Mus musculus: one gene and its partners. The main gene of each other region encodes a partner of the protein of the gene in region 3 in a complex. Links are inferred from orthologs where the notes say so. Each region holds a gene or a part of one and is shown on either strand. Other genes may lie near its edges.

Evidence for each region.
Region 1: Cnot9 (region 3) and Cnot6 share a complex: the UniProt entries of both Homo sapiens proteins name them as parts of the CCR4-NOT complex. The link is inferred for Mus musculus from reciprocal best matches to the Homo sapiens genes CNOT9 and CNOT6.
Region 2: Cnot9 (region 3) and Cnot2 share a complex: the UniProt entries of both Homo sapiens proteins name them as parts of the CCR4-NOT complex. The link is inferred for Mus musculus from reciprocal best matches to the Homo sapiens genes CNOT9 and CNOT2.
Region 4: Cnot9 (region 3) and Cnot6l share a complex: the UniProt entries of both Homo sapiens proteins name them as parts of the CCR4-NOT complex. The link is inferred for Mus musculus from reciprocal best matches to the Homo sapiens genes CNOT9 and CNOT6L.
Region 5: Cnot9 (region 3) and Cnot11 share a complex: the UniProt entries of both Homo sapiens proteins name them as parts of the CCR4-NOT complex. The link is inferred for Mus musculus from reciprocal best matches to the Homo sapiens genes CNOT9 and CNOT11.
Region 6: Cnot9 (region 3) and Cnot10 share a complex: the UniProt entries of both Homo sapiens proteins name them as parts of the CCR4-NOT complex. The link is inferred for Mus musculus from reciprocal best matches to the Homo sapiens genes CNOT9 and CNOT10.

Annotation. Positions count from the first base shown.
Region 1 is NC_000077.6:49,709,923-49,713,866, forward strand, and holds the start of Cnot6 (CCR4-NOT transcription complex subunit 6), read right to left. Parts: upstream 2,801-3,944; 5' UTR 2,432-2,800; intron 1-2,431. UniProt on the Homo sapiens protein: Poly(A) nuclease with 3'-5' RNase activity.
Region 2 is NC_000076.6:116,494,512-116,498,011, forward strand, and holds part of Cnot2 (CCR4-NOT transcription complex subunit 2), read right to left. Parts: intron 511-3,500; coding exon 449-510; intron 362-448; coding exon 312-361; intron 1-311. UniProt on the Homo sapiens protein: Component of the CCR4-NOT complex which is one of the major cellular mRNA deadenylases and is linked to various cellular processes including bulk mRNA degradation, miRNA-mediated repression, translational repression during translational initiation and general transcription regulation.
Region 3 is NC_000067.6:74,519,560-74,523,059, forward strand, and holds part of Cnot9 (CCR4-NOT transcription complex subunit 9), read left to right. Parts: intron 1-2,758; coding exon 2,759-2,868; intron 2,869-3,500. UniProt on the Homo sapiens protein: Component of the CCR4-NOT complex which is one of the major cellular mRNA deadenylases and is linked to various cellular processes including bulk mRNA degradation, miRNA-mediated repression, translational repression during translational initiation and general transcription regulation.
Region 4 is NC_000071.6:96,085,491-96,088,990, forward strand, and holds part of Cnot6l (CCR4-NOT transcription complex subunit 6-like), read right to left. Parts: intron 804-3,500; coding exon 652-803; intron 1-651. UniProt on the Homo sapiens protein: Has 3'-5' poly(A) exoribonuclease activity for synthetic poly(A) RNA substrate.
Region 5 is NC_000067.6:39,534,299-39,538,500, forward strand, and holds the start of Cnot11 (CCR4-NOT transcription complex subunit 11), read left to right. Parts: upstream 1-1,402; 5' UTR 1,403-1,540; coding exon 1,541-2,039; intron 2,040-3,117; coding exon 3,118-3,282; intron 3,283-3,972; coding exon 3,973-4,125; intron 4,126-4,202. UniProt on the Homo sapiens protein: Component of the CCR4-NOT complex which is one of the major cellular mRNA deadenylases and is linked to various cellular processes including bulk mRNA degradation, miRNA-mediated repression, translational repression during translational initiation and general transcription regulation.
Region 6 is NC_000075.6:114,637,401-114,641,629, forward strand, and holds the start of Cnot10 (CCR4-NOT transcription complex subunit 10), read right to left. Parts: upstream 2,801-4,229; 5' UTR 2,541-2,800; coding exon 2,519-2,540; intron 610-2,518; exon of another isoform or gene 1-609. UniProt on the Homo sapiens protein: Component of the CCR4-NOT complex which is one of the major cellular mRNA deadenylases and is linked to various cellular processes including bulk mRNA degradation, miRNA-mediated repression, translational repression during translational initiation and general transcription regulation.

The DNA of each region.
Region 1 (3,944 bases), on a different chromosome or scaffold from region 3:
AAATATATAAACAGACAACAAAAAAGTAAAGGCCAAAGAGTAAAATTAAGGCAGCCTGAATCAGCCTCCATCTTAGACTCAAATAATCACTCTTTTCTAATCTTTAAACTACTTACTCAAACACCAAACTCTACTGCATTCCACTGTCCTCAAACGTACACGGTATACAGTTATACTTGTGTTTGGTCAGCACTTAACTTTCTGGTAACATAGCTACCTCCATAGCCTAAATAACAGGTACAATTAAGAAAAACTATTTATTTTGTAGAAGCTAAAAAGTTTTAAAAATTAACAGAGCTCGGGCTGGAGAGATGGATCAGCAGTTAAGAGCACTGACCGCTCTTCCAAAGGTCCCGAGTTCAAATCCCAGCAACCACATGGTGGCTCACAACCATCTGTAATGGGATCTGATCACCTTCTTCTGGTGTGTCTGAAGACAACTACAGTGTACTTACATGTAACAAATAAATCTTTTTTTAAAAAAATTAACAGATCTTTCTTCTCCACAGTGATAAGACAAGCAAGCTTGAGCTTCCTAGCCAGTGGACCTTGTCAGAGGAGAGGGCTGCATGTGTGCTGGAAATATTGACCCCTCACCACACAAGGACCAAAGGATACTCCAAGCATTTCTTCCAGTATGTCTTACTTATACTGTCTTTCTAGGCTGTATTGAATGAAAACTTAAGCATGGTGCTGGACACCTTTAACCTCAGCACTCCAGAGGCACAAACAGGAGGATCTCTGAGTTCAAGGCCAGCCCATTCTACAAAGAAAGATTCAGGCTAACAGGGACTGTATTTTAAGATGTCTTTTTTTTTTTTTTTTTTTTTTTTTTGTAAAGTTAACATGGGTTCAGTCAAATGTTTAAACATTAACCAAAATACTAGTTAAAACTACATGCATAGTAGGCAAATTCCTATAATGCCTTTATTTGTAGTCAGGACCAAGTTCTGTATATCAGCGTCTATGTCTGTTCAAAAAAAAAAAAAAAGCCTGAAATTTCCCAGCAACCATAATACATCTCAACTTATACAAGGATTCTCTTTCAAGAATATTCCAGTCACACTAGAAAATGTCTGCCACATACATTTTTGTCCACGTTAGCAAGCACCTGTGCACCTGTGAAATGGCTACCTGACCTACTTTAATATCTACCTGATAAAAATACCCGCTTCCTTCTCCAAACCCCAAATACTTAACAACTATATCACCCTTAACGTCTGCTTTATGACTACCCTCCTAACTCTAACATCCTGATCCAGTCTCTTCATTCTAGGCTTGGTTCCTCAGAGCCAGGTCAGAGAATTTGACTAGACCACTGGCTCCACGTAATTTTAATTCTAAAATGTATTCTTCAAAGCGCCAACTTCAAAAGACTGGCAGCAATTACAAAAAGCAAAATACGCCTTCACAATCTTTTGACCAGCCTACAGAACGGTTGCGGGATGGTGAAAATTTCTAGTGTGGGAAAGACAGTGCTATTACACACCGAATTGTTTTTTCATTTATTCTCCAAAGTTAAAATTCCAAGCAGAGGCAGAGAAGAATTTAGACCTAGTAGTCAATCAGGCAATCTACCTGTAAAACAGGTTTACCTGTACTCAAATTCTAGCAGATTATTTAAACACAGTAACAAGATGGCCTGTGCACAATGTTGTCACTTGCAGAAACAGTTAAAAGTAAAGAATTACAGTTGCTTATGAGCAGTCTCTGAAGACCGTTGTCAGGGTAGAAAGAGTCAAGGCGGGGGGGGGGGGGGGGGGGAAGGGGGGGTCACCAAAGTAAATAACCACTGTCTTTGAAACTAGGTTAAACTAGGGAAATTTTCTTCCAGAAATTAGTACTTGAGTCCTGAGTCCAATAATCTCTTCAGCTGATAATCACTTCTTTGGCCACGTAATCCGCCCCGCCCCTACCAATATCTGCGTTAAACGGACTTTAAAATACTTTAGGAGAAAAAGGGTGAGCATTAAGTCAATCCACGGAGTGCCAAGTTCCACGCCGCACAGTGCACACCCCCCCCCCCCCAGCACAGCCACTTCTCCAAAGTTGCCACCGGTTTGTCCCTAGTCCCGGCACCCCAGCTCCTCTCTTGAGGTGCGTGACCGGCCGGAGGCGGGGGTCCGAGAAGCCAGGGTTCACGCCACCGCCCTCTGTACGCCACCGCACTGCCGTCAATCAACACTCCCACCCCCCACCCCCAACCCAGGCCGAGCCCCGGGACTCCGCGCGGGGGGCGCGGCCAGGGGACCGACGGGATGGCGATCGCTGTGTGTGAAGGAGGGGGACGGACAGACGTCACTCCGAGAACTCCTAAGTTGTGCGCGAGTGCGCGCTCGGGGTCCCCGCCGGGGCGCGACCCCTGGGGGGGGATGGGGGAGCGCAGGCAGCAGAGCCTCGGCGGGACGTCGCTCGGGCCCGTCGCGCTCACCTCTCGAGCTGCGCCGCCTTCCTCCGCCGCTGCCGCCGCCTCCTCCCGATGAGTGCAGCGGGGTCTGCCCTGTGGAACCACCATACCAGTCCCGCCCGCTGCTGCAGCGCCTCCGCCGCCGCTCTTTGTTCCCCCTCCTCGGCCGCCGCTCCTCAGCCGCCCGCCTCGGCCGCCCCGGACCCCACGAGCCGCCGCTACGCTCTGCCGCCCTCTCGGACCCCGGCCTCGCCCTCCTCGCCGCGCCGGCCGCCGCCTTCGCCTCCGCGCCGTCGACGCCGCCGCCACCGACGCCGACGCCTCCTCTTCCGCGCCCCCCTCGTTTTCATTGAAAGCAAACAAGCATCATGGCGGCGGCCGCCGTCCCCCTCCCACCCCAGCCAGCGAACGCCCCGCTCACCGCCGCCTCTCCAACATCCCGGCTTCTCATTGGCTGACGCTGCTGGGCGCGACTATCCCGCGTCGTGCGGGGGTGGACTCTTGGCAGCCCGACGCTTTAGCCCCGTCCGCGTTCCCCCCGGTCTCGGAGCAGTGAGCCGGCCCGGCGCGCTCCTGCCCGCCCTCCCAGCCTCTCTTCCCGCTCTCTCTGCGCCTTTCCTTCTCCGCGCCTTCTGTCTCCTCCTCTCCTAAAGCTGTTTCTCCGCGGTTTAGTTGCTCTTTTTCTTTCTCGTCCACTTTTATCTCCACTTTACCCTTGATTTTTTTTTCCTCCTCTTGATTCATTTTGCTTTTTCCTTGGCCTGTCAATCACTTGGGAGCACAGATTAAATTCTCAGACGTTTAACCCTATCCAGTGTCTTGATCTTCCGAGAAAGAAAACTTACACTCTTCAATAGTCAACTAATTGTTCCTGCCCTAACTATGCAGGAAAAAAATAATTAATAGGCAGGGTTTGTTTGTTTTTTAAATTATGGGGTCCTAATTTAAGTAACGAACTATAGCTGCATTCGAGGGCTAACATAGTCTACTCAGGACATGTGGTTTCAGGTAAACCGGAAAAGGAATGGGCTGATTAATGATACTTACATCAGGAAAAAGTACTTGGCTGGTATTCAGGACACAGGGATTAATCAAGCTCCACCTTGTCGAGTCAGCGTCATGGTGTACGGGCAAGAGTAACGCCCAACAGGCTTCAAATACACTGGCGATATAGACTGACAGGAATTGTGTGAAGGAAAATAGCTACCCCGACCTCCGTGGCAGATCAGCCCAGAACTGAGCGTGAAATGGCTTCCAGGAACTAACAAGAAAAAAAAAAATGCCTCTCAAGGAAGCCCATCTTTCGTTCCAGGATGTGGGACTTGCATGGCTGTTGCCTAAGGCAGAAGAGAACTAGGCGAGCAAAGCAGCGAGGGACAAAAGCCTTTCCAAGAACCAGATGTTCTGTTCAAGGCAGTTTGTGTTTGCCTGGCCCCAGCATTGCCTTGAGATCATCATTGCCTGCTATTTGCCAGGATAGCAGTGTCAGTCTAAGCTTCTAGTGCCATGAGACGCTGGAAAAGTTAAGGCAATGGAG
Region 2 (3,500 bases), on a different chromosome or scaffold from region 3:
ATAAGTAAGGGCATAAAATAAGAATGTCAGGAAGAGAATCACCAAATTTTCCAAGTTAATGTATTTCCATTCACTATGGTTACAATTATTAATTACAAGAAATATTTTATCATTCCTAACATTGATTTAAAAAAGACCTACAGCATATTAATAAAAATATTAATAAAAACAGAAATAAAATTGTTATGTGAATGGTATACAGACACATACGCCTAAGACTGCTAGTGGATTAGCATGCCGTCTGAACTGGAAGTGGTACCAAGATAATAGCTAAAATCGACGCCTGAGAATAGAAAGGTCTACTCACTCACCTTATCCCTAATGTGAATGTTTGTTAAATATTCTGATGGAACATGGAAGTCTGCATAATAAAACAAACAAAGGTGTTACTAACTGATACTTAGGAAATACCTTTTAAACAATTTTGAGCACAAATAGATTCTCCTACCTATGTCTTGAGGCCGACAAGGTGAAGAAGCCCAGGGTGATGCAAATTTGGGATAGAGATTTCTGAACAAGTAAAAAAGAAGCCACTTTAAAGAACAAAGTAGAAAACTGTATTTCTAACTTAATTTCAGGAAAATGGGAAAAAAAGAATTCAAATAAAAAAATAAGCATCCTTCTTGGTTCCCTTTCTTGAATTTACTGCAACTTTATAGCAGAAAAGTAACCCAAGAGCGCTTCGCTTCCTCTAGTGCTCACCAACAGAGTGTAAAGCACAGCAAGTCAGAATATACTTAGGTACAAAATGGAAATTGTCTACTTTAAATTAGCGGTAACTAACAATGCTCTAAGTTCATTTCTACACTACTCTCCAATTATAGTACTTTCCATGTCCACCTCACTCAAAGCCGAAATGAGGAGGAGCCAGATTTCGTATCACTGAACACGTATTGTGAGTGCCTATTCTATGTTCTGAATAAGTTAAGTGATAAAAACGAAGACTGCTGATATTGGAAAACTTACTTTCTGTAAAAGTGTATGGCTAACTGGACACTGGCAGATAATTAGCATAACAAATGAATAATACTGGTTATATAATTAAATAGGGTGATCAGTTTAAGTCCGATTTGACAAGCTTAGATGTAAACAAATATTCAAGGATATAAGAGCGATAATCACAGGTCAATAGCTAGTAGAACACTGTACTAGCCAAGGGGAATATTAGAACAACTGAGGCAGAGACAGCGTGACATGAGAGGCAGAGGAAGGCAGGGAAACACTTCCAAGGTGGAGTCAGAAGAAAGGCAGGATGATGTGAGCGTTGCAGGGCTGCCACTCAGGGAGGTTTAAATCAGAGCAACAAATCTGTACTTGGGGCTGAGCACAGAAAGAATTATCTTGAGTGCTACACAAAACCATACAAAAAGAGCAAACCAAGAATCCCTGCTGTGATATGCTGGCAGAATATTCAGGCAACAAACCAGGGTGGTAGCAACTTAATGAGACTATGATTGGATTCTGTATCTACTTGAAAGGACTGCATCTGAGAGAAAAGGAGAGACTAAGGATGATGTCGTTTCTGGAAGTATTAATGGAGATCAAAAAAGCATAGCCATGGTGTAGGTTTAACCCAAATCTTAAAAGAGATATTTAGCTAATAACGGCATCTAAAATCTCAAGTTCAAGAAAAAAAGTCTGCCATGGAAGTAGGTGTTTGGAATTTTCAATCTATGTGGTCCTTAAAAGCACAAGTCTAGATAAGATCATCAAGAAGACAATCCAAAGGTGATATGAGCAAGGGAAACTGAGGGATGAGCCAACGTTACCAGGTAAGAATGGTATCTTCAAAGTCAAGTGAGGAAGGAGCACCAAGAGAAAGTGGGGATGCTGCAGAGCGCTTACTGGAATCACAGGAACGGATTCCTCGCAACAGTGGATTCAGTAGAGTGAAAGAAGACAGGTTAGAAAAATGAGGATGACTCATTTGAGACGGTTTGCTTCCAAAAAAAAAAAAAGAATTAAGAATGAGGATAACTCAAAAGAGGTTGATCAAGATAATGTAATTTCAATACAAATAGAAAAATAAGTTTCTCTGTATTTGGCACTAGAAATGTGAAAAGAGAAATGCTGTAAGTTGGAAGGAAATCATGGCATGTATGTGGCTATAACATCATCACTCACACAGAAGCAGGAGTGCTTTAAGGAGCCACCTTGGACTACACTACACCAGCCAAGACCATTTCCAAAGTCCTGGGGGGAAGCGGGCTGAGGGTGTAGCTCGGGGGCACAGCACTTGCTTACTGTGTCCAACACTGGTTTGGATGCCAGCACCAGGAAAAGGAGAAAAAATTAAGACTCCCACTCATGAGTTTTGATGAAGTTTTAGTAGGAAGCATGGACCAAAGATTTTGGCAAGGTCATGTCAGATTTAGATTGGTGGCAGGTCATTAGATTTGGAGGCAGGACCAGGTTAATGTCCTCTTCTATCTGCTTACACCTGTCTTTGTAAAGTAGAAATAGAAGCCAGGTCATTATGAGAGCTACGGACAGGAGGAAATGCTATTCCTGGCTTGATGAAATTCAAAACAGTCACATAGGATAACAGCAGCAAACCAACCAACCAACCAACCAACCCAAACACATCCAAAAGCAAACAAAAGGTTCTGAAAGGATTATGTCATCAGGTAGAAATATGGCTGCTCAGGGCGGTGGCGGCGCACGCCTTGAATCCCAGCACTGGGGAGGCAGAGGAAGGAGGATTTCTGAGTTCGAGGCCAGCCTGGTCTACAAAGTGAGTTCCAGGATAGCCAGGGCTATACAGAGAAACCCTGTCTCGAAAAAAACAAACAAACAAAAAAACCAAACCAAACCAAACCAAACCAAAAACAAAAAACAAACAAAAAAAAAAGCAAACAAACAAAAAAAACAAAACAAAAGAAGTATGCCTGCAAAATTTTGGACTCAAGTTTAAGTTCTTGAGCATCAGTGTGCAGCAGGACCAGACAGTGAAATTACACTTTTCTGTAGTCCAACCAGAAGATGGTCAAGAATCAAACAAACAGATACAACAATGGGTACAGACTTTTAAGATGAGAAGTGAGAAGGGCAGACAGTCAAGCTTGCCTAAGTGAGCAATTATGATTCATCATAAAATTTAATGGTGAGAAGGATGTGAGCTCATCAAAGAGGAGGAGACAAGAACACCGAGGAAGACAGAGAGCTAGAGAATGAGAAGTCGCAATAGAATCAAATGATATAGAAGTCACAGCCACAAGAGAGGCATGGGAAACAGTGATAGTTAAAAAGCAAGCAACAAGGTAAACTTAGTTCCGAATAATGACAAGATCAATGGGCTGGATAAAGATGTGGCTTGGGGACTAACCCAAATGCCTTGTAGATGGATCCTTGGTATTTCTCAGTGATCTATGGGCTAGCTAGAAAGAACAGCCCAGGAGTATGCAGGCTGCTGATGAGATTAGCTACAAGTCTGAGGCTCTCTGTGGTGGCACAGGATACAGGATAACACCTATAATGCCTGCCTGGGTTACTCTGTCTTC
Region 3 (3,500 bases):
CCTTGGCCTTTTGTCTCCCAGGTGCTGAGATTGTAGGAGTGTACCACCATACCCACCTTTTCCTTGTTTTCCTGTTACTATTGACATATATTTCTACAGTGTTAACTTTGATAGCTATTTTTAGTTTCTGGTTACAGATTTAAATTAAGTATGACATGTTTTAAAGTAAAGCAAAATACAATTTCGTACCTTTTAACAACATAAGAGCAATTTACTAATTTAGTGATTTGCTATGTTCTAATTGGAAAGATTTTGCGTAACTACCTTAAAGGATATTTTCTGTCAGTGATTCAACCCCAAATATAAAAAGAGCTTTAAGCCTTCCATGGTTGTTCATACTTATAATTCCAGTGCTCAGAGGGCTAAGACAGGAAGGAGGCTTGCTAAAGAGTGAGGCCCTGCTCCAAAAAAACAAAATTAAGTAATTATTTTATGTTTACTTAATCAGAGTCATCTTACAACAGCAAAGTTTTAAAGAACAATGGTCATATCACAGGAAAGATAATATATGATAAGCACATACATGGGCACTTCTCTTTTCTAAATTGTGGAAGGCACTGGGCCAAGATTGTTGCATGGTACATGTCATATAATAGGAACTCAGTAAATATTTGTAAGCACTTTTTCCTCACAAAATTCAGATTTGATTTCTTTTTTTGTTTTTCACTTTTTTTATTAGATATTTTACTTATTTATTTACATTTTAAATGTTATCCCCTTTCCCGGTTTCCCCTCTAGAAATCCCCATCCCATCCTCCTTCCCCCTGCTTCTATGAGGGTGTTCCCCCACCCACCCACTCCTGCCTCCCTGCCCTCACATTCCCCTACACTGGGGCATTGAACCTCCACAGGTCCAAGGGCCTCTCCTCCCATTGATGTCTAAAAGGCCATCCTCTGCTATAAAAGCGGCTGGAGCCATGGGTCCCTCCATGTGTACTCTTTGGTTGGTGGTTTCGTCCCTGGGAGCTCTGGGGCATCTGGTTAGTTGATATGTAGCTCTGGCTGTCTAGGGACTCTAGCTGGTCTCAAACTCTCCACCTGCCTCTGCTTCCCCAGTGCTGGGATTAAAGGTGTGTGACATTACACCTTGTGTCAGAGTCCTTCTTAGTTTAGAATTCTAGGCAGCCTCTGTAATTTAGATGGGGGTTGACATGCAAGGTATAGCTGTATTGCCATATTGTCATACATGAAAAAGAAGGGAAAACCCTGGTCAAGAATCTGCTTTGCGCTAGTGAGATGGGTCAGCAGTAAAGAAGCCTGTGCCTAAACTGGACAACCTGAGTTCCACACAGGACTCTCACATGGTGGAAGGAGAGAGGAGCATGAATGCATCACTCCCTACCAACACACACACACACACACACACACACACACAAATAGAGAGAAACAGTCTGCTGTAGCTTTTAATTGCCTTCTTTTTGTCTAGTTTCCTTATAAAGTCTGAGTGTTTAGTTAGTGCTGACTTGTCAGAAACTTTAAAAAGCTGCTAAGAACTTTGTCTTAGATGGGCTTAGTGGCACAGACTTAAGATTCCACCGCTGGGAAGGCAGAGGCAGGAAGATTACTACAAATTCAAGGCCAATCTGGGTTACTTAATGTAGTGAGACTTTCCTAGTCTGATTATCCAAGAAGAGAATACTTATGTTCACTTAAAAGAAGTACATAAGTAGTAGTAGATGGTTTTCTGTATTAGTTGCAAATTCAAGTGCTTTCAAAATATTTGGTGTATTTAGTATGCCTAACCAAGAAAAAAAATATGTTTAAACACAGCAAAGTAGCTGGACATAGTTGGGTATATCTGTAATCTTATCACTTGGGTATTTAGAAGTTCAAAGTCACTATCAGCAACATAGTAAGTTTAAGGCCACTCTTCGTGTGTGTGTGAGAGTGTGTGTGTGTGTGTGTGTGTGTGAGAGAGAGAGAGAGAGAGAGAGAGAGAGAGAGAGAGAGAGAGAGAGAGAGCGAGCGAGCGCTCTCATACATGTGTGTTGAGGGACATACACATGTGCCCAGCTGCCACCCTTGTCTGGGTGTTTGAGGAACCTGGAAAATCCCCCTGCAACTAGAAAGTACCAGAGGCAGTTATAAACTATGGGAAATAGAAGAATTGAACTTAGGTCCCAGCAAATTCTCTTAATCACCAGAAGCCATCTTTTCAGCCTCCTGAAGAATCTCTTTCCCAGTAAAGTAGCTTTTGCCCTTTTTTTGAAGACGGTGTCTCTAGGCTAGCCCCAGACTCATGATCATAATTCTCCTGCTCTAGGCGGGCCCTGATTGCTAGGTTCTGTGTAGATGTACAGCAACACATTGCCTTTAGCATTTGTGGCTTGATTTTCGTTTTGGGAGGTTTGTTTGTTTGTTTGGCTATAGTCAATCAGTTTTTAAGGCACTTAGTGCAGATTAAAAGTAAATTGTGTTGTTTAATCATCCTAGCCTGGGTTGCTGTATCACATTGACATTTTGTGCTGAGTCTTTATGGTGTGTCAGTGAGGGCAAGAAGTTCCCCTTCTTAGCAATGTAGACTTGTCTGGCTTCTGTGGCTGGATGCTAAGTAGCCCTCAACATCTCTCACTTCTGACAAATACATCTCCAGATACTAACACATGTCTCCTCTGGGACAACGTTATACATTGAGAATGTTGGTCACAAAAAGCCAGTGAAATCTTTTCTAAGGATTCCTTCCCCTGGCAGGCAGTCTCACATTCTGTCTCAGACGTAGTGGGCCCTGGGTTGTGACTGTGGTTGTCCTTTCTTTCAGGTCAGCTTTTCTGGCAGCACACATCCCACTCTTTTTGTACCCCTTTTTGCACACAGTCAGCAAAACTCGTCCCTTTGAATATCTTCGGCTCACCAGCCTTGGAGTTATTGGTAAGTTTTTTTGTTGTTGTTGTTTTTCTTAAGAAATGGTCTTATGTAGCCCAGGTTGGCCTCAGGCTTACTATGTAGCTGAGGATACTCCTGAAGTTTTTTCAGTTTTTTTATTCTTTACTTTCTGCCTCCAAAGTGCTGGGGTTACAAGCATACTTCCTCATACTTGATATGGTTTTTAATGTGGAGCTGAGGGTTGAACCCAGGGTTTTATGCGTTCTAGGCAAGCACACTACCAACTGAATGGCATTGATGTCCTAGGTAAGTTATCAGGGACATTAGTAAGCCTGAAATTCTTACTGATAATAGTGGTCTAAGTTGTGTGTTTGGTTCACTTATAGCTTGTTCATTTTTTGTCTTTGACATCGTCTGTTTACTAGTAAGTGATTACAAAGTTACATCCCTTTTTTGTTTGGTTGGTTGGGTTTCTTTGTTTGTTTGTTTGTTTGTTTGTTTTGAGACAAGGTTTCTCTGTGTAGCTCTGGCTGTCCTGGAACTCACTTTGTTGACCAGGCTGACCTCGAACTCAGAAATCCACCTGCCTCTGGCTCCTAAGTGCTGGGATTAAAGGCATGAGTCACCACTGCCCAGGGCAAGCACCATTCTTAATACTGTTAATAAAGCTGTAAGAA
Region 4 (3,500 bases), on a different chromosome or scaffold from region 3:
AAAAGGAAATCTGATACTATGTGTCATCTGAATAATTTAAACTAGTACTCCAGACAAAGTAGCACAGGAAGAGAAGTGCACCCATGTGGTCTTATCAGCTTGTTCTGCTTGAGACATTAAAACATAATAGTGTTCCAAGGCAGGCAGAAGAGAGGTCAATGAAAGACCTTGATAATGCCAAGTATACAATGAATTTCAGACTCTCTGGGAAGCTATAAATAATCTAAAAACTCTGAAAAGTATCACATAGATAAAAGATATTGTTCTCACCCTGACAAAGACTTGAGATGTAACAAAGAAATTAAAGAAAGCATGCCAACTATTTAACCTTAAAAAATAAAGGGTACACACGTGTGAAGCTCAAACTACAAGAGAGGGCTAAGTATAACTTCTAATTCAGCCTAACCAAGCCATACCCTATTTCAAAGAATTTTCTCAATGAATGGTGTGTTAAAGGGGCAGAAATTACCTGTTAAGTAAAAATGCTGACAAAAACTATAGAATAAATCAAGAATTCACAAGAAATGTGTAATACTTTACATAATTAATGCTATTTTCTTTTCCATCTCCTTAATAGTTCTCAAGATAAAGAAATAATCTTGTAATAATAAGATTGTCTTCCCTTAGGAAATCTATGTAGATGGCACTCACCTGTTCCAAAAAGCTCCTTGTGGACCTCTAACACCACAGCAACGCCAATGTTATCTTTCGTCATTACTCTGTTTAGCATTGCTTCGGATCCATCTGAATTTGCCATTGCTACCTGGTTGAATTCCACTGTATGCTTCTGCACCAATGTAAATCTAAAAGGCACATATATTCAGATAACTTGGGTAGTTATACTGTCAGGCTAACACATTGAAAGTAGAGGGGGCATGAGTATAAACACTATTGATAATCTATAGTCACATCTATAGCTACAGATGCTCACATTATATAATTCTGGCCAGTGAGAAATAAGAAATATGGTTTCTATAAACAATTTATGAAGGCCCATCTAACAAAGGTAAAATATATATCCTCTTCATCCTTTTATGTCTTTTCCCCTACTAGCTTCCTAGTAGGGGAAATTTACTATCTAAAGGACTAATACTAAATGTGAACTAAGCAGAAGGGTACAAGCCAATCTTCTGAGAATGAGGAAGCAGCTGAGCCAGTTCTCTCTAAACTGCTTCTTGTGTGTACAAAACTCATGTACTTAAGCTACTGTTCAGATTTTCCTGACATTTAAAGGTACATACAATCTTAAATGAACAGTTTAAAAGAGAAAGAATAAAGTCTACTTGCCAATTTTTAAATACCATATCAAGGTAACAGTCAAGAAAATACAGGAATATGATCTTTTTCCCAGCTAAAAATGATCACATCCTTGACTAGTTTTTACAGAAAGACTAATTAGGTATAAGTGTTCAGAGAAATAAATTATATTGTAAAAAAAAAAATGGATCTCTGTGATGATGGCAAGTTATAGTAGAATTGTAGAATATAATACAAATTCATCTAATGCTAACATTTAATAACTGTGAACTTGGTCAAGTTGCCTGTACTGGTTGTTCTGTCAGCTTGACACAAGCAAGACTTATCTGAGGAAAAAAAAAAAGCCTCTATCAGACGGCCTCTAGGCAAGTTAATATGAGAAGGCACAGTTCACTCCTGGGCAGGTGGTGCTGGTACAACCAAGTAGACTTGGTAAGCATAGATGGAAAACACCAGTAAGCAGCATTCCTCCATGGCCTCTGCTTCAGTTCCTGCCTCCAGTTTCCTGCCCTGACTTCCCTTAATGATCAAGTAAGTATTACTTCTAAAGTTTAAGATGAATTAAACCTTTCCTCCAAGTTGCTTTTGATCATGGTCTTAGAGTGTTAGAGGCCAAAAGTAAGATACTATTTAACATCAGTTACCCAATTTTATTAACTTTTTAAAATATCTAGAGAACCAAAATAGTTCTTTGGGGTAAGCCAGAGCCCCTGAACTTGAACTTGCAGCTAACTCTCTCTTCCTGCCTTTGATCCTTAGAAATGAGATTAGAACATGCTCTAACAGACATGGCTTAACATACTAATTTTCACTAGACTTTCAAAGACATGTTTTGCTTTCATAACAATCTACCTACCACTTTATAATCATTTCTAGAGCTGAAAATTAAACCACATACAACCCTTCAAAAATTATTAACTATAAAGCTTGCAATGCTGTAATATACCATGCTAGCTAAAATAATATTCTTCCTATCAGCTTCTTATTCCAATTCTGAATGTCTCAGATGTGCTCAGAATACATAAAGTGTAATGTGTCTGGTCACGTGGCCTATTTCAAACCCAGAGTTCTTTAAAAAAAAAGCAGTTTTCACCCTGTTCCCGTAAAGAGGTGGTCCTTAAGCTGAAAAAGCCATCATTGTGAAGACTGAAGTTAAGAGCATTTCAGGTAAAAGTGGGAGGAAATCCCAAAAACAGCAAATAGCTTTCTAAACAAACAAACAAACAAAACCAGATAAATGACAGAGAGAGAGAGAGAGAGAGAGAGAGAGAGAGAGAGAGAGAGAGAGAGAGAGAGAAAATGAATGAGAATATGGCAGAGTATGAAATGGTACTGGAGATAAAATAAACAGGGATTATAAGTAAAGAGCACTTGCTGCAATTTCAAATGGACAGACTTTGGTTCCCAGCATGCATAACAGGCAATGACACAACCAACTGTAACTCTAGCTCCATAGGACCTGACACTCTCCTCTGGTCTCCATGGACACCCACATATACATGACATACACATAAATAAAAATAAAGACATGTGTAGTGGCACATGTCTTTAATCTAGTTCTTGGGAGGCAGAAACAAGTAGATCTAAGTTCAAAGCTAGCCTGGTCTACACAGCCAGTTCCAGGCTAGCCAATGCCACATAGTGAAACTCAGTTTTTAAATAAATAAATAAATAAAAATATTTACATTCTACCAACACTAACTTAAGACAGTCACATCTTCTCCAACTACCATACACAAAATATGTTCCATGTGGCTTCTACTTTCTGTTGCAGAGAGAGCCATACAGGAAATTTTAAAATTCCTCTACTGTACTGGAATTTTTCTTTTACTAGCATGCATTGGTTTATAGTTACTTTCCAGTTATTAATTTTAGCTAGCAATCTTTGGTAATATGTAAAGTGTTAAGTTTGCCTTGTTTTTCAGATTCACCTGATGATTCTATTCTGATTAGTGTACTCTGCTTTGTAAGCAGCATTCCTAAAGCTATTTTATCATATTTAGTTCTGTGGTTTTTTTCTGTATGTTCACCTTTTTGAAAAATTTGAGCAGGAGCTCAAGTGAGTATATAAAGAACATAATCAAGACTGATATGACTACAAAACCAAAACTATAACAACAGCACAAAAAATCATATATTTGAGAAAGATTATGAAGAATCTCTTGTGTAGGAGAACATGTCCAAAATAAGCTTTCAAACAAAGAAGCAACAACTTCTTAACAGTGTGCAGTCTAGAATTAATT
Region 5 (4,202 bases), about 35 Mb from region 3:
AGAATTGATATAACCCATTCCAGACGTTCAGCCTCAGGAAGGGAGAGGAAGTGGGTTCTACAGTGAAAATGAACTCAGTTTGTGGTAATGGCAGAGAAACCCTAGAAACAAGCCCAGTGGAAACAGGGAAGACGCTCTTGGTATTAATCTTAGTGGAAATCAGCTCTATTGGCGGGTAACGTGCTGTGCTCAAATACCTTAAAACATCTCGAAACACCCATACTGTACTAACATTTAAGTTATCAACTAACAATAAGTTATGACAATAACTAGCATGAGTGGGTTTTAGTATGATTAGTTGTCATAGAGCATCCAATGTAAAAAGGCTCAAAGAGAACATAGTTGACTAATTAGTAGTAGTAGTAGTAGTAGTAGTAGTAGTAGTAGTAGTAGTAGTAGAAGAGGTAATTTGAATCATTTGCCCCGTTTGGCAAGCTATATTTTCTGCTGATTGCAATGTTCATTGGCAGAACCCCTCCACAGGTTTAACAGTAAACTAAAGAGGCCTTTAAAATATGCGCCATACCCATCACCTGTTCCTGAAGATTTCCTTGAGAACTTCAGCGGTAAATAGAAAACTTTCAGCTGCCGAAGAGTTTTAGCACAGGGTAGCTAGCAGGTGACGCTGATGACAGTCGCTCGGTTTCTGTAACTCTAGAGTGGATACTAGTCACCACCGGAGCATAGGGGTGGGGAGCGGGCAGCGGTGCCTTTGAAACAGATCACAGGGGACCAGGTCCAGGAGGCTGGTATGTAAAGAAATTTCCAGGGTTTTCCAGTGTTCAGCCAAGGCGTCCAGAAAAAGTGCCCTAGGGCAGGCTAAGGAAAAAGAAGCACTGCAAACGATTTTGTAAACGAATATTTCTCGAGACAGTTTTCTCAGATTTTTTTTTTTCTTTCTTTTTAGACCAGGCTGGCCTCGAACTCACAGGGGTTCGTCTGCCTCTGCCTCCCTGGTGCCGGCCTCGCCTAGATTTTTGTTCACATAACCAAACGTTTATGTGCGGTACGACCCCATCTCTGAGAATACGAGCAAGGCTCGAAATTTAAACTGTTTCTGAGAATCCTGTTTTCATTGGTATTTACAAGAAATGAGCCGTCAAGGATGCTCTATCAGACCAGTTAGCATCTAAGACCTAGTTTCCAAATTATAACTTAGGCAATATTGACTGGGCAGGTTTGGCGCCACCCTGTCACCCAAGGATCGCTTCTGAGGGCTTTAAGGGCAATTAACGGCGGTCTCTACATCACTCAGGCAGGGAAGGACCACTCGGACAGCTCAGAGACCACGCGGCCCCGCCCTCCACGGCGCCCCGCCCCCTTCCGGACACGGCGCCCCGCCCACTCGCGTCTCCGGAACCTCCGCTCGGCCAGCGTCGTCGGTCTGTCGGCCCTGTGTCTCCGTTCCGCTCGTCTGACTTAGGCACTGTTTTTGTTTGCGACGCTGTCGCGGAAGGGTGCGCTTTACGGCCGCGGGAGGACGCAGCGAGTCGGCGCCTTGGGCCTCTCGGCCGGGAAGCGGGGTAGGCGGGCGAGGTTGATGCCCGGCGGCGGGGCGAGCACGGCGTCTGGCCGGCTTCTCTCCTCAGCGGATCCCAGAGGGGCGCGGGAGGCAGCGGCGTTCCGGAGCGGCCCGGCGGGCTCGAGCGGAGGCCGAGGCGGAGCAGGCGGCCCTGGGCCAGGGATTGGAGGCCCCGCGGGCAGGATGAGCCTGACCCCGAAGGAGCTCTCGAGCCTGCTGAGCATCATCTCGGAGGAGGCGGGCGGCGGCAGCACCTTCGAGGGCCTGTCCACCGCCTTCCACCACTACTTCAGCAAGGCCGACCACTTCCGCCTGGGCTCGGTGCTGGTGATGCTGCTGCAGCAGCCGGACCTGCTGCCTAGCGCGGCGCAGCGCCTCACGGCGCTCTACCTGCTCTGGGAGATGTACCGCACCGAGCCGCTCGCCGCCAACCCGTTCGCGGCCAGCTTCGCGCACCTGCTCAACCCGGCGCCGCCCGCCCGCGGCGGCCAGGAGCCCGACCGGCCCCCGCTCTCAGGTACGTCCCGCAGCCAGCCGTGCGGGCGCAGCCAGCTGTTCTGGGGTGGGGGTGGGAGGGGGGTCGTCAGCTAGGGACATTCAGCCTCCTTGGAGGGGATCGACCCTCCCTCCTTTTCCATACTTTCTTTCCCTAAAATAGGGGAGAGATAGAAGTTGCAAGTTTTGTTTTTTTGGTTTTTTTTTTTTTTCAAATTCACTACACTCCAGATGATCCCTCCCAATCGAAAAAGCCAACACATCGTACAAGCCCACAAACGGGCTGGACATATTTTAGTATGCCAGATACGGTTCATTCTTGATTGTAAGGTCCTGAGGTATGCGAAGTTACAGCCAATGGCACTGAGTTTACCCCCTTTTTAAGCCTCCGAGTAAAGAAGTCGGTATTAAGAACCTGAGGTTGAAGTCCACATCACCACAATATCTAAAGTCTTTGCAGCCAACTCCTTGGTTAGCTGTAATGTCGCGTGAGGAGAGGATGAAGTCGTTTCTAATTAACCATTCAAAGATGCATGTGTCCTGGGCAGTATTGTGGAATGTTTGCTTTTGCAGCATTGCTAAGATCAGGCATAGATTACACCTGAGGATGCGCCCCTAAATTTGGTGCTGTGGATGGAACCCAGGGTCACTTCCTCTATACCATGAGCCTCGTCCAGGACTCTGGGACAGCTGTACCACTCACAGGCTGACATACATGTACATATGTACATATATATAGATATAGAGATAGAGATAGAGATATAGATATACACACACATATACATATATATATAATTTTTAAAGTATGTTTAAATTTGTAGGAATCTAAGTATTTGATAACAAAAAGTTCTCAACAGCTATTAAAACCTTACGTTTCATTGACATTTCCATAGATCACAGAATCTCAAGCGATATATTTGTTTATGGATTACTATGTGTACTAAGTGTGAATATTCAATCAGCTGGAACTCAGTTACATTTAGATCATAAGAATAGCTCCACGTGGCAAGTAGCAAAGTTTCCAGTTAACTTTTAAAGTTAAATTTTAAAACTTTACCAGTACCCATTGGCGAGAAACCGGCATGCATTCTTATTTGCAGGGTTCCTGCCTCCTATAACTCCACCAGAAAAGTTTTTCCTCTCCCAGCTCATGCTGGCACCCCCAAGGGAACTGTTCAAAAAGACACCTCGCCAGATTGCCTTGATGGACGTTGGAAACATGGGACAGTCTGTGGACATTAGCGGCCTTCAGTTAGCCCTGGCAGGTGAGGGAGGGCCAGTGATTGGGACATTCTTGTCGGTTCTTGAGATCCCCTGCTTAAAATCAACAAGTTTTTTCTTTTAAATTTACATTTCTGCTGTTTTTGTTTGATCCTCTCCCATCCTGCCCTGCCCTGTCCTTTCCCTGTCTCCCTGTCTGCCACCCCCTCTTTTGTTTGTTTGTTTTGAGACCAGGTTTCTTTGTGTAGCCTTGGCTGTCCTGGAAGAGCTGGGTAGAGCATGCTGGCCTCTAACTGAGCTCTTACTGGCTGACTCTGAGTACTCAGGCACGCAGCCCCAGGCCAGGCCCGCTCCAGTCCCCATCCCAGATCACACCCTTGTACCCCAGCACCTCCTCCACTCTCTTTTCTGTTTCCTTATTCTGTGCTTCTGATTGACACCCAGCCTGGTCTCTGCCCCGCACCTCCCTCCCTGCCATCCACCTCACTCCATGTTCTCTTTTGGAGTTATTTTAATATTATTATTGTTTGGTTTATAGGGATTAAAGATATTTACTTTGAACTCCTGATCTGTTCACGATGTTCTCAATTTTAAAATGTTCTGTGCCACCCTGCCCCTCCCCCTGCCCCCCAGGCTGGCCTTGGGTTCTTGACTCTCGTCTCCGCCTTCCAGGTGCTGGCATTACAAGGTCTAGCTTAAATGCTTTGAATGCTTCTTGTCTGAATCTGTTCCAGAGCGTCAGTCTGAGCTGCCAACCCAGAGCAAAGCCAGCTTCCCAAGCATCCTCAGTGACCCAGACCCGGACTCGTCCAACTCTGGATTTGACAGCTCAGTTGCCTCTCGGATCACAGAGTCTTTAGTCAGTGGCCCAAAGCCACCTATTGAAAGTAGGTATATGGGGCTTAGTTCATGTTCTCAGGGTTGTACTCTAGCAGCACTCGGGAATTCTACGTTTCTTACAGTA
Region 6 (4,229 bases), on a different chromosome or scaffold from region 3:
CAACCGGAAGAAGAAAGCAGGAGGAAGCAACACAGACAAATCCTCTCCCCGTGTGCTACTTTCAAAAACTGCTTCCAGAGGCTGTTTTTCCAGAGGGGGCCATGGTGAGGCCCCTTAAAAAAACTCCCACAGGAAGTGATTGCCACGGCTTCTCAGAGCCCATGGTGGATCAAGAGCAGGGATGGAATACACTGTGTCTCCCCTTCACTTCCTGGACCCTGGGCTGGCACTTTCCAAATAAGTTTAACATGTCTCTTCTGCCTCTTTCACCACTACCATAAGAAACACTGGCTGGTGCTGTTTACTTGCGTGTGCGTGTGTCAGAGACAACCTGGAGAAGGCAGTTTTCTCTGCATGAGTCCTGGGGATGGACTCAGGTGTCAGGCTTGAAAGAAAACACCTTTACCCACTGAGTAAAGTGCTGATAAAGTACTACTCGGGTGGTAGTGGTGCTGGCAGCTGGGTCAGCACACGCTTTGATGCCAGCCTTCTGAGGTAGAGGCAGAGGCAGAGGCAGGTGGATTTCCTGCTTTTGAGGCCAACCTGGTCTACAGAGGGAGTTCAAGGACAGACAGGGGCAACACAGAGAAATCTTGTCTCGAAAAAAAACCTAAAAAAAAAAAAAAGAAAAGAAAACAAAACAAAACAAAAAGAAAAGTGTAAGAGAGCAACTACGAGGACCCAACAGCCAGAACCATGCCACTTAACCCAGCAGAGGTCCAGAGTGCAGGTCCTCAGAGGCAGGCTGTCTTACACTCACTTCATCATCTGAAGGATGCCTGCACAGTGTCTTTGTGAAGGAAGGAAGCAAGCAGTGAAGGAACGCCACGTGACTGAGGTGCAACTCAAGCCGGGCAGTCCTGGATCTGGTGAGACGCTTCCCGGGAAATGATTCCAGAAGCAGCACTGTTTTGATTAACAAGGACAGTCCCGGTCCCGTCTAGACCCGGGCAGGCAATTGGCACCCTTCTTGCATCCCACACCAACAGGATCACCCCTTCACTTTATTCAGATCTGTGCTCAATACTATCCCAGCAGGAGCTGGATCAGCAGGGGCTCGGTGGGTAAAGATACTTGCGCCCTGATGATTGGATTTGATCCTTGAAAGCCAAGACATGCAAATCACCTTGGTGCTCAGTGATTAAAAGCACACACTGCTCTTCAGAGGGCCTGAGTTTGATTCCCAGCACCCACAACTACCTGTAACTCCAGCTCTGCGTGACCCAACTCCTCGGACAGCATCTTCAGGCATTTGTCCTCACGTGCATACACCCAAAGTTAAAAATAACTTTAAAAAAGGAATCACCTCACAATAGATTTTCTCTGATCACCTAGCTAAAATTCTATGGCAGTGGGTATAATGGCACACAACTTTAATTTAGCACTCAGGAGGCTTTATGTCTAGTGAGTTTGAGAATAGCCTGGTCTATATAGCGAGCTCCAGGACAGCCAAGGCTACATACATAGTGAGACCCTGCCTCAATCAATCAATCAATCAATCAACCAATCAATTCCGCCCCACTCTCTAAACATTACTTTCTTCAAAGAAATATAGCAGACTTTCCAGGTAATAAATGGGCTCTCATAATTCCCTAATGGGAAAAATTCCTGATGGAGTACCACAGAAAACCACAGAAATTAAGAACTTTATCTTGGGACTGGAGAGATAACTCAGCGGTTAAGAGCACTGACTACACTTCCGTAGGTCCTGAGTTCAAAATCCCAGCAACCACATGGTGGCTCACAACCATCCTTAATGAGATCTGATGCCCTCTTCTGGGGTGTCTGAAAAACAGCTACAGTGTACATACATATAATGAATAAATAAATAAATAACTTAAAAAAAAAAAGAACTTAATCTTGGGGCTGGAAAGGTGATGGCTCAGCGGTTAACAGCACTCGCTGCTCTTGCCGAGGACCAAGACTGGGTTCCCAGCACCCACAAGTGGTGGCCCACAACTGTGTAACTCCAGCTCCAGTAGACGCAATGTCCTCTTCTAGTCTCGGCAGGCACCTGCACTCACACACATAATTAAGACTTTTAAAAAGGAATCTCGAGGAGCTCGGGAAAAATCAGATGAGGAACAAGGTAAGTGAGAGCAGGCAGGAGACACAGTGAAACGTCACGCCTCTTTAGACAGTTTTCAGAATGACTCCACTGGACACGCTGACCAGAGGGAACTTTTTCAGTGGCTGAGCCTGGGGGGGCCTTACGGCAACCGTGCGTGCTCGGATAGACTTTCCCTTAAAGCGTCTGGACAGCGGCGTGACAAATTCAAGCTTCCTGCGCCAGAATTAACTTGGAGAGCAAGGCAAATGCAGTGCAATCAAGATGGGGTGCAGTAGAATCAAGATGTGTCACAGCAGAAAATCCACTGGACTCACAGTAGAGACAGCTGAGAAGAGTGAAGGGCACAAGTACCCAAGCGAAGTCAAGTGGCCCTCGGGTCCCCCACGCGGGCCCTGCCGTCCCCGCGCGCAGTGTGTCAGCCCCTGGGTCGCGGCGCGGGCGCCTCACCTGCAGGCTTGTCTGCAGCCATCTTCCCGCCTCGGCTCGAGTTCCTCCCTGTAGGTGGCGTGGCCCCGACTCCCGCCGCCGGGCTGGTGGTGAGTCCTACCGGCGGGGGACAACTCTTCAGCTCAAGCCCGCTCCAGTCGCCTCGGCTAAGGTCCTGGGCGGGCCACGGGCTGAGGAAGTGACGAAGTTACTGCTCGTCGTCTAGCAACAGCGCCAACACATCCGCCGGTGCAGGGCTGTTTTCCCCGCCATCCACAGCTTCCGTCCCGTAGCGGCCAAGGGAGACGCTACTTCCGGGGCGGGGCCAGCTGGGCGTGGGAATTAGGGCTGGCCTCGGCCCCGGAAGCGCGTCCTTCTGCAAACCCGGAAGTACACTAGTGTAGGTCCTGAGTGAAACACAGAAGGGGAAGGACTTTTTGTTCCGCATTTCAGCAAAATGGCAGGCACCACACCTGAGGTTTATGTGCTAAGCTCTGAGTCTCATAGGGGCTGTTTTTCCATAACAATGAGGATGAGAGAAGTGTTGTTAGAGGAGGCCACCTCCCCCAGAAAAAAGGCTTTTTTTTTTTTCAAAGTTTCAGAGCTGTTTTGTTATTTGTAGCCAAGTTGAAAAAGCCATTCAGACTGCATTATGCATGCGGTTTCTCTGATTGCGAGTCATGCAACCATTAACTTACTATGGTAGGTCGGTCTAAGACAAAAGCTTGATGCATCACGATTACTAAGCACAATGATTTAGATTCAAGTTCAAATCCTCTGCAAAAACAATACCCACTCTTCAACTACCCAGCTCCCAACTATCTCATCTCTAGCCCATATCGTGACAAATTTTTGTTTGTTTGTTTGTTTAATTTTTTGAGACAGAATCTCACTATGTATCCCTATCTGGCAGTCTTTGTGGCAAAGGCTTTAACCCTGAACTGGTTCTGGTTTTGCTCAATGACCATAGCCTTGGGTTCCAGAAGCACCTACTCCATTCTTCCTTTCCCTTCTAGAGAACAAACAGCATTTATAATAACAGAGGTTCATTTCACGGAGAGAAACAGACATTAAAAGCATTTGTGTTAGACTTTTTGCTTCTGTGATAAATACCCTAGAGGAGAATTTAAATGAGGAAGGATGGATTTTTTGCCTCGTGTATCAGAGTTTTCAGTCCCAGGTCACTTGGTTCCATTGTTTTTGGACCATTAGTGAAGCAGTGCATTGTGCCAGGGCACAAGTGACAGAGTAAAGTTGTTGCCTTCCTGGTGCTAGAAGCAGAGGAAGCTGGGAGAAGAAATAGTCTCCAAGGGCACATGCAACTGAGATACTTAGCCCCACTGGGCCGCACCTCCTTAATTTCCATTACTTCCTAATGATGCACCAAATTACGAATCTGCAAGTGGATGAATCCAAGGATAGCTCCAAACTGTTGGAATCCTATTATCACTCTCAAGGACTGGGGGCCGGGCCTCCTATATGCAGGCTTTTGAGGGAGAGGAACTTCATATATAAATGACAACAGCACTGAATTGTAAAGTGACCCAAATGGTGCTTTGATGGGAGCATAGTTAAGTATGTAAATAAATAAATCACATGGAGCTATTTATTTGGTTTACATTTTTCTATTTTCTGTGTAGCTTACCTTAGAGATCTGCCTGTTTCTGCCTCCCGAGTGTTGGATTAAAGGCTGCACCATCACACCAGGTACTCCTCATAAGACTTTGAAATT